Linked DNA regions of Cricetulus griseus. The protein of the gene in region 1 interacts with the protein of each later gene in a biochemical or structural test. Links are inferred from orthologs where the notes say so. Each region holds a gene or a part of one and is shown on either strand. Other genes may lie near its edges. The genes, in order: Daxx and ras association domain-containing protein 1.

What was found.
Region 2: the proteins of Daxx (region 1) and ras association domain-containing protein 1 form a complex in vitro, tested with the Homo sapiens proteins (4 studies listed by BioGRID and IntAct, with this or other methods). The link is inferred for Cricetulus griseus from reciprocal best matches to the Homo sapiens genes DAXX and RASSF1.

The regions. Positions count from the first base shown.
Region 1 is NW_023276806.1:232,095,151-232,098,446, reverse strand, and holds the end of Daxx (death domain-associated protein 6), read left to right. Parts: coding exon 1-195; intron 196-403; coding exon 404-614; intron 615-730; coding exon 731-1,139; intron 1,140-1,274; coding exon 1,275-1,476; intron 1,477-2,603; coding exon 2,604-2,663; downstream 2,664-3,296. UniProt on the Homo sapiens protein: Transcription corepressor known to repress transcriptional potential of several sumoylated transcription factors. Down-regulates basal and activated transcription.
Region 2 is NC_048597.1:215,732,374-215,736,281, forward strand, and holds the start of ras association domain-containing protein 1, read left to right. Parts: upstream 1-1,687; 5' UTR 1,688-1,723; coding exon 1,724-1,973; intron 1,974-3,118; exon of another isoform or gene 3,119-3,875; coding exon 3,876-3,908. Other genes in the region: Zmynd10 (zinc finger MYND domain-containing protein 10), read left to right, coding at 1-171, 405-530, 613-734, 855-980, 1,072-1,147. UniProt on the Homo sapiens protein: Potential tumor suppressor. Required for death receptor-dependent apoptosis. Mediates activation of STK3/MST2 and STK4/MST1 during Fas-induced apoptosis by preventing their dephosphorylation.

The DNA.
Region 1 (3,296 bases):
TCAGATCCCACGTTGGCTCGTCGCCTTCGGGAAAACCGGAGCTTGGCCATGAGCCGGCTGGATGAGGTCATCTCCAAATATGCAATGATGCAAGACAAGAGTGAGGAGGGCGAGAGGCAGAAGAGACGAGCCAGGCTCCTAGGCAACACTTCCCATTCTTCGGGCTCCCCTAAAGTCTCCTTGGATTCGGGTGAGGTAAGGACGGGTCAGCGCCTGTCAGAGAGATCTTGTCCTCCCCCTGCGCTGGCCCCCAGGGACTCGAGGGGGACCAATGGAGCAGTGTGTGGAAACAGTGAAAGCACCAAGTCCTTGGGGGTGGGGCCGTTTGTGGTCTTCTCACCTAGTGTTCCTGAGGTCCCCGGTTTGAGTCCTAGTCCTTACAAGAGACGCTTTTGTCCCCCAGGGTCCTAGTGGACTGGCATCCCAGGAGTGCCCTACTACCTCCAGGGCTGACACTGACGACGATGAGGAAAGTGAGGAGGAGGAGGAGGAGGAGGAGGAGGAGGAGGAGGAGGAGGAGGAGGAAGAGGTCACTGAAGATGAAGATGAGGACCTAGAACGACTGCAGCAAGATGAGGGGGGTGCCGGAGAGGAGGAGGGAGGAGGAGGAGCAGGTACACGTGTGAGCAGAGCACCCCTGCGGCCCTGCTGGCCTTCCCTCCCCCCCCTGCTCCTTTGCACAGCCCCCTCCTCCCGTTGCTTTTGCTACCCTCCCTTCTCTCTTTTGCAGACAGTGAAGGAGATAAGAGCCCCAGTAGAAGCAACTCACAAGGGGAGCAGCAAAACAAAGGACTGTCAGAGACAGCAGCGTCTCCAGACCCTCACAGCGTAGATGCTGAGAGCAGCGGGGAACAGCCCGAAGAGCCATTCCTAGAAGAAGAGAGTCCTTTGTCCCACAGTTTTCAGCTAGAGATTGAAGACAAGGATACCACCCCATGCCTTGAGGAGAAGGACATTTCCTCTTCTAGGAAACAGTCAGAAGATTCCCTCCCCACTGTCTTGGAAAACGGGGCAGATGTGGTCACCTCTACATCCTTCAATGGGCGTGTCTCTTCCCACACTTGGCAAGATTCTGGTCCCCCATGCAAGAGATCTCGGAAGGAAAAGAAGCTGCTGGATTCTGAACCATTAGAAAACAGGTAAGAGCAGGCGGATGGCAAGGAGCTGGGGCTTTCGGGTAGCAGACCTGAGGTCAGGGTCTTCTGGGAGATACTGGGCACTCTGCAGCCGCAGTTTCGGGTCCCCTTCCCGTCCATCTGTTCTCTTTGCCTTAGCAATGTAGAGAAGCAAAAGGCTCAGCAGGGAAATGGGAAGAATGTGTGGACCCCGCCTACTGGATCTTCCCCAGTGGCCGATTCCTCCACAAGGGTGGACTCTCCCAGCCATGGCCTGGTGACCAGCTCCCTCTGCAGCCCTTTTCCATCTCTGACGTCCCCAACCCCCCAGCCTCAGTCTCCCCAGCCTTGTAGTTATAAGGTAAGTTGGGCTGCTGTGTTTCCCTAACAATTCATTTCTTTATTTTTTTCCGAGACAGGGTTTCTTGGTATAGCTTTGGGTGGCTTTGGAGGCTGTCCTGGAACTTGCTTTGTGGACCAGGCTAGTCTTGAACTCACAGAGATCTCTGCCTCCCAAGTGTTGGGATTAAAGACATGTGCCACCACTGCCTGGCAACAATTCATTTCTTACTGTCCCCTCTCCATGGGGTATTGCACCTCACACATCTCTATTTATCCATCCTAGGTTTGTGTTGTGTGTGCGTGCGTGTGTGTGGTGTATGTGTGTTTAGGTTTATTTTGCACAACGTAGTAGTTTATGCCTTTAAGTCCACCACTCAGGAGGCAGAGACTGGCAGTTTTCTTTTTCTTTTCTTTTTTTTTTTTTTTTTTTTTTTTGATGGCTCCCTTTTTTTTAAAAAAAAAAAGATTTATTTGTGATGTAGTGTTCTGCCCGCATATATGCCTGCAGGCCAGAAGAGGGCACCAGATCTCATAACGGATGGTTGTGAGCCACCATATGGTTGCTGGGAATTGAACTCAGGACCTCTGGAGAGTGGGCAGTGCTCTTAAGCTCTGAGCCATCCCTCCAGCCCGAGACAGGCAGATTTCTATAAGTTCAAGGCCAACTGTCTTGTCTACACAATGAGTTCCAAGGTTACATAGTGTGAGACCCCTGCCTTAAAAAAAGAAAAGGTTTACTTATATGTGAAAAGGTGTTTCGTCTATGCATGTCTGTGTACCACATTTGTGCCTGGTGTTCAGTGGAGTCCAGAAGGGGCGCCTGGTCCTCAAGAACGGGGGTTACAGAAGGCAGCCAGCGAGCTGCGCGCCGTGTGAGTCTGGGTACCGAACCCAGGTCCTCTGCAAAGCAGCCAGTGCTCCTAGTGGCTGGCTCTTCTTCCAGACCTCCATCCTAGTTTGGTTTGTTCTTGAGATAGGGTCTTTCCATGTAGCCCTGGCTGTCCTGGCACTCTGTGGAGACCAGGCTGGCCCCAGACTCAGAGATCCGCCTGCCTCTGCCTCCTGAGTGCTGCTGCCGCCGCCGCCACCGCCGCCGGCTGGACCTGACTCCTCCCCTCTGCCTGTCCCCTTGTGACTTCTCTGCAGATGAGTGTGGCCACGCAGTGTGATCCCGAGGAGATCATTGTGCTCTCAGACTCTGATTAGCGGCCTCCTGCTCGCCCTGCCTCCACAATGTTTTGGATGGCCGCGGGCAGAAGACTGAGCAGAGGATGGACTGCGCTCCTCCCCTTTTGGTGGCGTGTCTTTTGACAACCAGATGTTTTAAGTTTTGCAAACACATTAATAAACAATGAATTTCTTTTCTTATTGTATTCTTGTGTTTACCTTGTGTCTCTGCTGTGACAGCCGCCGCCTGGTTCGGGGCTGGCCTGGGCACCTCGGGGGCGCCGTCCTCACCGCGATCCCGAGCCTCCCCCGGGCCCAGGCGAGAGCGGGCTTCCCGGGCCTCCCGGAGCCGCTTGGCTCAGCCTTGCAGCGGTTGAGTGAAAGGCCCGTGGGGGCCGGCTCCGTCCGGCTGGCTCGGCCAATCCCCAGGGAGGCGGGGCCTCGGGGTGCTGTCATTCGCCGGGGAGAGGGCGGTTAGATCCCGCGAGCCGGGGGTGGAGCCCGAGCGGCGGAAGCCGGTACCGGCCGTCAGCGGAGAGGCAGCGGGCGGGATTAAAGGGGACGCGGGCCGAGGCCCAATCAAGTCCCGCGTCCTGGGCGGCGGAGGGGGCCGGCGCCTTTAAGAGGGAGGGGCGGCCGGCCCTTTAAAGGGGAAGCGCGTGCGTCGGTCGA
Region 2 (3,908 bases), on another chromosome or scaffold:
AAACTGCAGCAATTTGAGAATGGCCGCTGGCAGACAGTGCCCCCCTCAGAGCAGCAAAGGCTAAATAAGCTGGATGGGCAAGTGTGGATCACCCTGTATAACCTACTGCTCAGCCCTGAGGCCCAAGCCCGATACTGCCTTACAAGCTTTGTTAAGGGACAGCTTCTTAAGGTGAGGAGCTCAATGGCTCTACCCATCCCCCACTGCCACCACCACTACCCTGCCTCACCCCCATTGTATCCCTGCCTGTCCCTGTCCTCTTTCCACAACTTGGACTTCTTGTGACATGGGAACTGGTGAGACATAAACCTTCCAAGTACACCCAACCCAACTTGGGGACTCCCTGTCTCTTGACCCTCTGGCCAGGACTTGTTTCCCAATGGCCTTCCCCGGATGCCTTGCAGCTTCAGGCCTTCCTCACGGATACACTTCTTGACCAGCTGCCCAACCTTGCGGACCTGAAGGGTTTCCTGGCCCACCTGGCCCTGGCTGAAACCCAGCCCCCTAAGAAGGACCTGGTGTTGGAACAGGTAGGCACCTCGAAGGTTAGTTGCTCGGGACCATGATCCGCTTTGCCAGTTCCTTCCTCTCCTCTCTATTACATTCTCTTAGATCCCGGAAATCTGGAATCAGCTAGAGCGAGAGAACAAAGGCAAATGGCAGGCTATTGCCAAGCACCAGCTGCAGCATGTATTCAGCCCCTCAGAGAAGGACCTTCGCCGGCAGGCCCAGAGGTAAGGTGTGCTGCGTGGCTCAAGACGGGTGCATAGGACATAGAAGGCATGGCCATGGCGGGAGGGAGTGCGTCTGTGCCCCTACCTGTCATAGTCAGATCTTCTTGGCCCCTCCCCCAGGTGGGCTGAAACCTACAGGCTGGATGTCCTAGAGGCAATAGCTCCAGAGAGACCCCACTGTGCTTACTGCCAAGCAGAGGCCTCCAAGCGCTGCTCCAGATGCCAGAGTGTGTGGTATTGCTGCAGGTAAGGGACCCCCGAACCTTAATCCCCCTAAGTTCCAACCCTGAGTCCTCCCACAAGCACTGTCATCCTCACGCTGCCCACACCCCTGCAGGGATTGCCAAGTCAAGCACTGGGAGAAGCACGGAAAGACATGTGTTCTAGCAGCCCAAGGTGACAGAGCCAAGTGAAGGCTGCAGCTTCTGACGGCCAGAATGTGACTCTGAGACTCGGTAGTTCTGCCTGGCTCCTGTCAGACCTCAATTTCTCTGGTGGTGAGCACAGCTGAGCCAAGTAGCGCTGCAAACCACCACCACCCGACAAACACACAAGCAAAGGCTCTTCGCTTCCTGCCCCACCCCACGAATATGTAAAGAAGAGAACCAGGCCTCAGCATCAGCAAACTGGCAGACAGGGTTGGGGGACGTACGAAAGGGCCGGATGTGCAGACCCTTTTCCTTTATCACAGTAAAGGGGACACGAAACTCATCAGTGTGGAGCTTTGCAGTCGTCGTTGGGGGCTGGGGAGGGGAGCTGGGGCAAGGACTGAAGGAAAGCCTGGGAAGGGGCTCTTGGAAAGCGCCCGCCCCTGTGCCCCGCCCCGCCCACAAGTGCACACTGTGGCCTCTCCTCGGTTTCCATTGCGTTCTCCTCCTCTCTTTCCCGCCGCCCTGCCTTGATCCTGGGGGCGGTGCCGAAGTGGCGGCCCCGCCCTGCGGCCTCGCCCGCTAGCGCCCAGTCCGCTAGAGTCCCGGCCTGACCGGGCCATGTCGGCAGAGCCAGAGCTCATTGAGCTACGGGAGCTGGCACCGTCTGGGCGCATCGGCCCCGGCCGGACCCGGCTGGAGCGTGCCAACGCTCTGCGCATCGCGCCGTGCACAGCACGCAATCCCTCGCAGCAGCACGTCCCGGGGCGCGGCCACCGCTTCCAGCCTGCGGGTCCCGCCACGCACACGTGGTGCGACCTCTGTGGAGACTTCATCTGGGGCGTCGTGCGCAAGGGCCTACAGTGCGCGCGTGAGTAGCAGCCCCACACAGCCGGCGATCACGGAACGGGAGGTCAAAGGCAGGAGCACCATGGCTGCGGGTCAAGTGGCAGCGGAGGGGGTCAGCAGCGATGATCCTGCAGACCAGGTCCCGTTACCTTGCCCCATCAGGGAGCGTGTTTGAGAAAGTGGTTTATCACGGTGTCACACTTCGTCCGTGCCTGGCGCACAGGTGGGCACAGGCAGATGTCTGTAAATAACAAGGTGCTGGTTCCAAGCTCTTTAAAGCGCCAGAACCCTTGAAAAGTCTTTGTGCCTACTGTGCCCTGTGCCTATATTCCCAGGTCCTCCTCTTCCAAAGGATTGGCACTGTGTTCCCCTCCAGATTCTTGGGTGACTTCACCCACATATGACAGGGGGCCAGAAAAAGTTACCTTGGTTGGGCTCCTTGTAAGTAGGAACCTTGTTGAGTCTTTTAGTCGAGGTTTGAGTCAGTGATCCAGAGGCTAAAACATGAACACAACCACACGCATAGTGGTCCTTCTGACCTGGGGATTAGCCGCAAACGGAAGTTAGACTCACCCGGGATACTTTATACCCTCCCATCGCCTTATGTCTAGACCTCTCAGGCTTCTTGAGTCCATTATTGAAAGTGGACCTTAGGTATCGAGGGCTTTGTTGTCGTTCCCTTTTGTTGTTGTTGTTTTGAGACAGGGTCTCACTATGCAGCCCTGGCTGGCCTGCAACTCTCTATTCAGACCAGGGTGAAACAGAGGTCCACCTGCCTCTGCTTCCCAAATTCCCATGTGTAGATGGAGCTGAGAATCAGCGCTTCGAGCCATATGGGAACTTAAGGGTGGGCTGTAGGCCTGTGCATGCCTAGAGCTCATTCATTCACTACCCGAGTATGTCACAGGTTCAGCTAGTGAAGAACAGTCATTTGTGACAGAATACCACATAGAAGCCTGGGCTGTGATACTGCAACATTTTCAGATAGAAACAAAGTTGCTCTGGAGGTGAGAAACCAGACAGTTTGGATGTCTGACAAGAGGTTGGTAAGGGAATCAAGAATGTGTAGGGTTTTGCTTCAAATAACTAGATGGACAGTGGTAACTTTTGCTGAGATAGGAACCCAGGGGTGAGTGGCAGTGGAAGAAAAGTGAAATTTTGGTGATGTACGTTTGAAATCTTTATTAGGCATTAAAGTGAAGGCACTACATGTAGGATTTGTCCTAAAGAGGCAAATCAGGTCCGCCTTGGATCTGGATCAGGTGAGTGTAGACAGAGCTGGGACAGTATCCAGATGAGGAACCTGGACATCAATTATTAGACCTGGGAGTCGGAACTGATGAAGGGGCTAGCAAGGAGCTACAGAGAAGCGACAAGAAACAGCTAGTGAGTGCTGTCCCTGGGAGTCAAAGGGAGCAAGCAACACAGATTTAGGACGGAACGACCCTGCTAACGTATACAGAGGGCAAAACATTAGATGTGTGCTTTGGGGATTGGCACACATCTGTAATCTTGGCACTTGGAGCAGTTGGAGGCAGGAGGATCTCCCGACTTCAAGGTTACCATTTGAGGTTAACCTGAACTACATGAGACCCTTTCTCAGAAAACAAAATAGGCTTGTGTAAACAAGTGAAGAGGCAGATGACAAATAGAGGAAGTCGTAAATTAAACACTTTTGTTTTCAAGTTAATGGCAAAGTGAAGTAGTAGCTCTGCGGTAGATAGGCAAACACAAGTGTTGAGCAGGGTAACAGCCTGAGGCCTTCCAGGCAGTTTCCAAACGTGCTTCCAGCATCTGTGTAGCAGTGGGCGGCAACCGCGTTTGAGAAAAAGCCAGTGGAGCCCAAATCTGTCGGGCAGAGGCTCCCTCAGTCTGTGGGTCACTTGGCCAAGCTCCTCCGCCTCACCGTCAGCCCTTTCTGCAGACTGCAAGTTCACCTGCCATTACCGTTGTCGTG